Linked DNA regions of Ovis aries. Each later gene encodes a partner of the first gene's protein in a complex. Links are inferred from orthologs where the notes say so. Each region holds a gene or a part of one and is shown in the gene's direction. Other genes may lie near its edges. The genes, in order: TJP1 and GJC1.

What was found.
Region 2: the proteins of TJP1 (region 1) and GJC1 are in contact, whole or in part, in a crystal structure (PDB 3SHW), measured with the Homo sapiens proteins. The link is inferred for Ovis aries from reciprocal best matches to the Homo sapiens genes TJP1 and GJC1. Residues at the interface, in NP_003248.3 of Homo sapiens: Lys429, Ser432, Val433, Gly434, Leu435, Arg436, Leu437, Gly449, Val450, Leu451, Val484, Leu487, Leu488, Leu549, Asn551, Gly552, Lys553; in NP_001073852.1 of Homo sapiens: Lys391, Thr392, Ser393, Val394, Trp395, Ile396.

What each region holds. Positions count from the first base shown.
Region 1 is NC_056071.1:26,241,267-26,245,081, reverse strand, and holds part of TJP1 (tight junction protein ZO-1), read left to right. Parts: coding exon 1-20; intron 21-346; coding exon 347-586; intron 587-1,176; coding exon 1,177-2,031; intron 2,032-2,127; coding exon 2,128-2,225; intron 2,226-3,476; coding exon 3,477-3,704; intron 3,705-3,815. UniProt on the Homo sapiens protein: TJP1, TJP2, and TJP3 are closely related scaffolding proteins that link tight junction (TJ) transmembrane proteins such as claudins, junctional adhesion molecules, and occludin to the actin cytoskeleton.
Region 2 is NC_056064.1:44,264,265-44,268,079, reverse strand, and holds part of GJC1 (gap junction gamma-1 protein), read left to right. Parts: exon of another isoform or gene 1-1,234; intron 1,235-1,333; 5' UTR 1,334-1,406; intron 1,407-2,266; 5' UTR 2,267-2,286; coding exon 2,287-3,477; 3' UTR 3,478-3,815. UniProt on the Homo sapiens protein: One gap junction consists of a cluster of closely packed pairs of transmembrane channels, the connexons, through which materials of low MW diffuse from one cell to a neighboring cell.

The sequences.
Region 1 (3,815 bases):
TTAAAACAGCCTCTCAACAGGTAAGCAGCAGCATCAATGTTCTGCAGGTGGAGGTACTTTATCGAAGTCTAGATGTGGTGACTGACTTAAAGAATGTGGTGTCCTTTCTCGCAGGTTAAGATTTAATCTCTCAGTTCAACTTGAGAATACCAAGGACTTAATTCTAAACTTTGTGTGTTTAGAATCTCACACAGCATTATACTGCAATTTACAAATTCAGAACATGAGGTCACAGTTTTTTTACTCAGCACACTTAAAATGTATGTCTATCAACCACTATAAATGGAAGTGGGGAGTTAGCAGTGAACAGAAGCATTATATTTAAAATATTTTAAACACTTCACAGAAAGCAGAAGCCTCATCTCCAGGCCCTTACCTTTCGCCTGAAACAAACCCGGCACCATCAGCCTCTGCCGTTAATCCTCACGTAGACTTAACTAATGTCAGACTGGAGGAGCTGAGCCCAGCTCCCCCCTCCTCTGACTCACCACACGCCGACTCTTTACGAGCTCCAGGCACTGAGGCCGCTCACGTGCAGCTCAGAGGTCCAGAGCCGTCCCTGTCGTCGCATGTGGGCCCAGCAAAGGTACCTGTGCCGCGGGGGCTGCCCTCACCCGCCGCTCCCCGTCAGCCTGCCACACGAGCACGTCTGCTTTCCCTCGAGTGTCCTCTGCTTTTACTGTGGGCTCGACACCATGTTCTCAATCACTGCAAGTCATCTGGTTCTGCAGTCTGCATGGCTTCCAGTGGTGCCTGATTCCTTAAGTAGGCCTTTTAATTGGGATTGATACCTAATACTTTCATAGGTTTTTAATGTTTGGCTTTAGAATCTTCCAAAATTTCTTAATATATTGTTCAGATCCATTGTAAACTGCTTTACGTTTTCTAAACTATTATGTCCATAAATTTTCTTTATGATTTTCATTTTCAGTGTCCAAATCAAGTGGAATCAACAGCTGAATGCATTAATTTTCTACTAAACTTCATTTAGTGTTGTTACATGCTGAAACATAAAAGCCCCTACTTGCATTATAAATTTTGAGCTTTCACTTAAACTTGCTTTCTCCACTAATCTCTTTCTGTCCTGGTAATAAAGGGTAGAACATGTCATTTCTGTCTCTTACTAGACTAGGAATTGAAGCCAGCCTGTGTCCTTACTCATGGCTGTTTACGCAGGTGTACAGGAAGGACCCCTACCCTGAGGAGACGAGACAGAACCATGTCTTGAAGCAGCCGGCTGCGGCTCACCCTGGGCAGAGGCCAGACAAGGAGCAAGGCCTGAGCTATGAGCCGCAGCCTCCGTACACAGAGCGGCAGGCTGGCAGGGAGTTGGAGCAGCCCGCGTACAGATATGATGCCTCTGGCTACCCGGAGCAGTTTGCTCGGAACTATGACCCCCGTCTGCGCTATGACGACCGCCTCCTCACCTATGAGGAGCAGTGGCCCTACTACGATGACAAGCAGCCTTACCAGCCCCGGCCTCTTGATGGTCAGCCTCCCGCGGAGCCAACAGAACGAGGGTATTTTTCCCGTTTTGAGGAGCCGGTGTCCCTGTCCTATGAAGGCCGAGCGCACTACGACCCACTGCCCAGGACCTCCACCTTGCGGCACGAAGAGCCGCCCGCCCCTGCCCCTGGGTACGACGTGCATGGAAGGTACCGGCCTGACACGCAGCCCTACTCCACCACTGGCCCCAAGGTGCCCCCTGAGCCCAAGCCGTACTTGGACCAGTACTCTCGGAGTTACGAGCCGGTGCCAGCTCAGGGCTTCCCCTCCCGGGCAGGCCCAGGCCACTATGAGCCTCTTCACAGCACCACACCTGCTCCGCCACTTGGCCCCTCGTCCCAGCACAAGCCCGAAGCCGCGCCCACAGGCACCAAACCCCTGCCTCCACCCCCAGCTCCAGCCGAGGAGGAGGAAGACCCAGCCATGAAGCCACAATCCGTGCTCACCAGAGTGAAGATGTTTGAGAACAAGAGGTCTGCTTCCATGGAGAACAGGAAGGATGAGAGCCATTCCACTAGTTTCAAGGTAAAGATCTGATCACCGTTTCCCTGCCTTGTGTCCAGAACACATTCAGTGATGAGTGTGCAACATGCCTAAGATGTGTATCTTCTTTCTCTGCAGCCCCCAGAAGTCACGTCAAAACCGGCAGGTGCTCCTGTCCCAGGTCCCAAAGCCCCTGCTCCGAGTCAGCTCGGTGAACACGACAGAGCGGCACACAGGTGGGTGCTCCACAGCCTCGTGGGTGGGCAACAAGCCCCAGCTGGGGAGGGGCGGGGAGGGGGGGATTTGCGGGTCTTCACTTGAAATCTGCCATGTATCTTCTGCAGCACATCTTTGTTATCCTTTCCATAAACAAATCTGAAAACAATTTTCTAGCAAATTTCTAACATATGCTAATATACAATTTTAGAGCCCTAACTTCGGAAGGATGTTTTTAGTTTAATAGTGCTGTTGGCACACAGGCTGTTAGTTTTTAGCGACAAGAAAACAGATAGCTGTAAACTAAACTTCATCTTTTTAAATTTTTGTCTGTACTGTGCGGCATGTGGGATCTTAGTTCCCTGAGGAGGGACAGAGTCCATGTCCGCTGCAGTGGAACTCTTGAGTCCTAACCACTGCACCCTGGGAATCCCAAACATAATCTGTTAGTGAGCATGTAGCCTGTGACATGTGCCTGCCGTGGTCAGGAGCACGGTCAGCATCAGGATGACTGGGCGGAACGAGGCTTCGGGGACCTGCTGTGCATGCTCCTCACTGTGGCTGCCCCTGCTGTTGCTGAGTGATGGGCTGCGTCTGAGCAGTTCTCTGGCCTAATGTTTCATTGGCTTATATTTGTGCTTGTAATAAAGAGGAACTGCTGTCTCATTTCCTCTGGTTTTCCTGATGCCTAGTGCTTCCATGCAAATGTAGACTACTGCGGTGTCTCCTTTAGCTGGGATCATTCACAGATAGGCTCTTGCACACGGAGTAAGTGTGTTGTAACTGACAGCTTAGCCCTCCTTGGTGTGAAGCCTAGTGTATCTGTTTCTGATGCTGAGTTTCTGAATTACCCAGCAGGGCCTAAGTAACAATACCTCACTTTGCTGATGGTTGACCTCCTTTGCCTTTCGTCACTGTCTAGCTCCTTCCTCACCTGGGGATCATGTATCGATCCTGGCATCAGAGTCTTGCATTCTCAGCAGTTGTTCTGACGGTGGTGCCCGTGCTGGAGCTCCCCACTGTCTGCCTTCCCTTCTGTCTCTGCCTCTAACCAGCTGGTTGTCAAGCTCAGTAGATGGGTTGTGTTAGGAGAAGGCTGCCCTCTGAGTGTGATGTGTGTGCACTTAGGGCCCAAGTTTCGGCCTTGGTGGCTGCCCTGCTCAGCTAGGTCACGAGTAGTCAGGGTGTCAGTGGAAGGTCAGAGATACCTATTCTGTTCTCTTAGCCAAGTTAACGTCTCAAATGTTGTTCCATTTATCACTTGTTGTCAGGATCCCTGAACCACAGAGGCCTCATGTGAAGCCACCTGAAGACATCGTTCGGGCAAATCACTATGACCCCGAGGAGGATGAGGAGTACTACCGGAAGCAGCTCTCCTACTTCGATCGGAGAAGCTTTGAGGCCAAGCCCCCCACCCACGTCCCCGCTAGCCACCTCTCCGAGCCCACCAGGCCGGCTCACCCCCAATCTCAGCCACAGTTTGCCGGTTACTCTTCCAAGTGAGTCACTTCATTTTAGATGTAAATTTTCAAAGTTAAGATGAAACAAAGGATCACTTGCATCAAATGGAGTCAGCCACACAAAGTTCAGTGTGTTCTGAAGGGAAATGT
Region 2 (3,815 bases), on another chromosome or scaffold:
AGCTTAACCAGTATGAAATGTGTGTTTCTAGTTGTGTTTAAATGACTGCTTTATTATGCAGGCTTTGAAGGATTTGCCATTGATCCCCTTCCCCCCAAAAAGTTAAGATTATTATTTGAAATACTGACCTGTTGAGAAATTATTTCATAGCAATAATTGTTAAAAAGATATCCATTTGTTTTTGGTACAGATGGAAGTGTAGAGAATGAGTTTTCTAACTAACCAATGATTGCACCTTCATGATTTGGCTTATTGGAACAAATAAAATTTCAGGCTTTAAGGGAAATGCTTTAGAGATGGCATTTTGGAAAAATGTGAGTCTAGACCCTTTGAATGTGATTCATTATGGAAACCTGGCTTACATCACCATTTAAAGATTGCTTATTATTTACTTTTGCTTTGGTTTTATAACTTGTGTATAGAGTGAGAGGAGAGCTGTTGAGCTCAGTTGGATATCAGTGCTGGAAACGAGAGTTGTACTTGAAGTCCTGTGGTGAAATACTTGTGTGATTGGACTCTTCTGTATGTAAATCTTGATTCTTGCACGTTATGTAGATGCCTCTGAACTTTTTCCTTCTTCATTGACCTTTTGGGAATTGTTCTGGGGTTTTTTCATGTATCTTACCCAAAAAATTTTTGTTATTTTGAACATATAATAACTTTGAACACTCAGGGTTTATTTTACGTTTTATTTATTAAATTAAGAGATAGCAAATGAGGATGATTCGTGACCATGGCTATCCCATAGTTGGCAGAACTTGATAATGAGAAGTAATTTGTCCTATGTATATACACTTGTAATCACAGTACTGGTGCAGATGTTTTCTTTCTGTGAGCAGTTGAGTCTGTGAATCACCTCCTATGGATATGGGTGTCCTGGTGACAGGGAGCCAGCTGTTGGGTGTCATAAATAAACAGCTTGCTCCTAGTTGGCTGCTCCAGAGAAGAGAGCAGGAATAGAGCACGTGGGGTGAAGATTTTCGCAACGCCTATAATGACCCGGCTAAAATTCGTTGAGATTTTCTGCTGTGGCTTTTTCCTATAGATGCCAGAGTTCATCTGTTTCGGATTTTCACAAATGATTCATCTTCCTGTCATATTTTCTTAGACTACAGTGACTAAAGCACCTTCGAGTCACTTTTAGGGATTTTCTCCTATCATAATGTATTGGAGAAGAGAACAGTGATATTCAAGCTCAGTCCTGTTTTCCATCTCATGCTGATTGATTCCTGTGGTACATGGAAAACTGTTTCTCCCTGAAAATGGCATTCTGGTGATTTACTGTTTTCTGTGGGAGAAAACTTAATGGCCTTCTCTTCTGTTTCTCTTTCAGAGAAAATCTGGAAAAGTTGTAAACAAAGCATTTCTCTAAGAAAATTTTGGATAGCAGAAATTCTGGATAACAGGTAAAAGGAGTGTTTAAATTTCTTTGATGATGCTGATAATCAACTGTAATCTGCAGAAGTGAAGCAGGAGAGGAAAGATCAAGGAGAAGAACTAGGTGTGCTTTGTGTCAGGGGCTGAATTAGGGACTGTAGGTATATTATCTTGTTTAGATGGTTTTTACCAAGATTCTGAACGTAGATCTAAGAATCTCAGAATAAAATTGTCGTTTGAAATGCTGTTTTAAGTAGATTTACCTCTTGATTGGATTTTCTGTCTGCAGGCATTTTTTAACATCAACCATAAATAAAATACAGAAGTATAATACAGAATGCTAGGATCTGCTGTGATGAGCCCTAGCTAAGGCTTCTGAGTTTCTGTCTTTTATTTTAGTTCTTGATCTTTGCCAGTTATTAATATTTGCAGCTTTACCATCTCCTTAATTCTTGTTAATACTTTGTTACCAGATCTGGTATTTAAGTTTGCCAATAAGGTGTCTCTTCACAGTGGAGTCCAGCCCAGGCGTCCCCATCGTGTTCTCGGTGGCAGTCTTACTGTGGCTGAATAAGTGTCCCTTTGTACTCTTTCCTCTGTCTCACAAAATTCAGAAAGTCCAAGAAATAACACTATATGTAAAACATCCAGTGTGCTTTAAGAATTGTATCTCAAATGACAGCTGCAATTTTACCTTTTAAACTAGAGAAGACATGAAAAGAAATCAGACTTCCCTCAGACCCTGTCAGCATACACCCGTGCTCATAGCCTGAGGGGAAGGGCCTTTCCTGATGGTGGTGTAGCGGGTGAGAAAAAGATATCATCAGTTTAAAAAAAGTAAGATTTTAGTATTTGCTGATCTTTCTTTGGTATTTTTCATTTTTGTCAGGGCGGACCAGTTTAGTCACCATGAGTTGGAGCTTCCTCACTCGCCTACTGGAGGAGATCCACAACCACTCCACATTTGTAGGGAAGATCTGGCTCACGGTATTGATCGTCTTCCGGATCGTTCTTACAGCCGTAGGAGGAGAATCCATCTATTACGACGAGCAAAGCAAATTTGTGTGCAACACGGAGCAGCCGGGCTGCGAGAACGTCTGCTATGACGCCTTTGCACCGCTCTCTCACGTGCGCTTCTGGGTGTTCCAGATCATCCTGGTGGCCACCCCCTCGGTCATGTACCTGGGCTATGCCATTCATAAGATTGCCAAGATGGAGCACGGCGACGCAGACAAGAAGGCCGCTCGCAGCAAGCCCTACGCAATGCGCTGGAAACAGCACCGGGCTCTGGAAGAAACGGAAGAGGACCATGAAGAGGATCCCATGATGTATCCAGAAATGGAATTAGAAAGTGAGAAAGAAAATAAAGATCAGAACCAATCTAAACCTAAGCATGACGGCCGGCGGCGGATTCGGGAGGATGGGCTCATGAAGATCTATGTGCTGCAGCTGCTGGCAAGGACCGTGTTCGAGGTGGGTTTCCTGGTTGGGCAGTATTTCCTGTATGGCTTCCAAGTCCACCCATTTTATGTGTGCAGCAGACTCCCTTGCCCTCATAAGATAGACTGCTTTATTTCTAGACCCACTGAAAAGACCATCTTTCTTCTGATAATGTATGGTGTTACAGGCCTTTGCCTATTGCTTAACATTTGGGAGATGCTTCATTTAGGATTTGGGACAATTCGAGACTCACTAAACAGTAAAAGGAGGGAACTGGAAGATCCGGGTGCTTATAATTATCCTTTCACTTGGAATACGCCATCTGCTCCCCCTGGCTATAACATTGCCGTCAAACCAGATCAAATCCAGTACACCGAACTGTCCAACGCTAAGATTGCCTACAAGCAAAACAAGGCCAACATCGCCCAGGAACAGCAGTACGGCAGCCATGAGGACAGCCTCCCACCCGACCTGGAGACTCTGCAGAGGGAAATCAGAATGGCTCAGGAACGCCTGGATCTGGCCATCCAGGCCTACAATCACCAAAATAACCCCCACGGTTCCCGGGGAAAAAAAGCCAAAGTGGGGTCCAAAGCTGGGTCCAACAAAAGCAGTGCTAGTAGCAAATCAGGGGATGGGAAGACCTCCGTCTGGATTTAATCTTGGCTGGGCTTAAAGCTTGTGCTTTCATAGTTCATGGTAAGCAGCGGCTCACTGAAAAACGACTTCCGTTGAGTAAACATTTGGCTCTGCTTATCTTCAGGGATGCTGTTGGCTCATGATCCAAGCTCAGGGGACTCTGAAGGTGGGGCTGGGGCAAGGGGGAGAGAATGGGAAACACAGCGTTCTTGGATACGAGTTCCAGCAATAATATAGTTGCAGAACTTTACATTTGTGTCTTCCAGATCTGGAAAAGAACAGATATATTTAAATCATTCTTGTTGAACAGTTTTTGTATGTACAGTATTATGGTACTTTTTTTTTTTTAAGTATGAGAA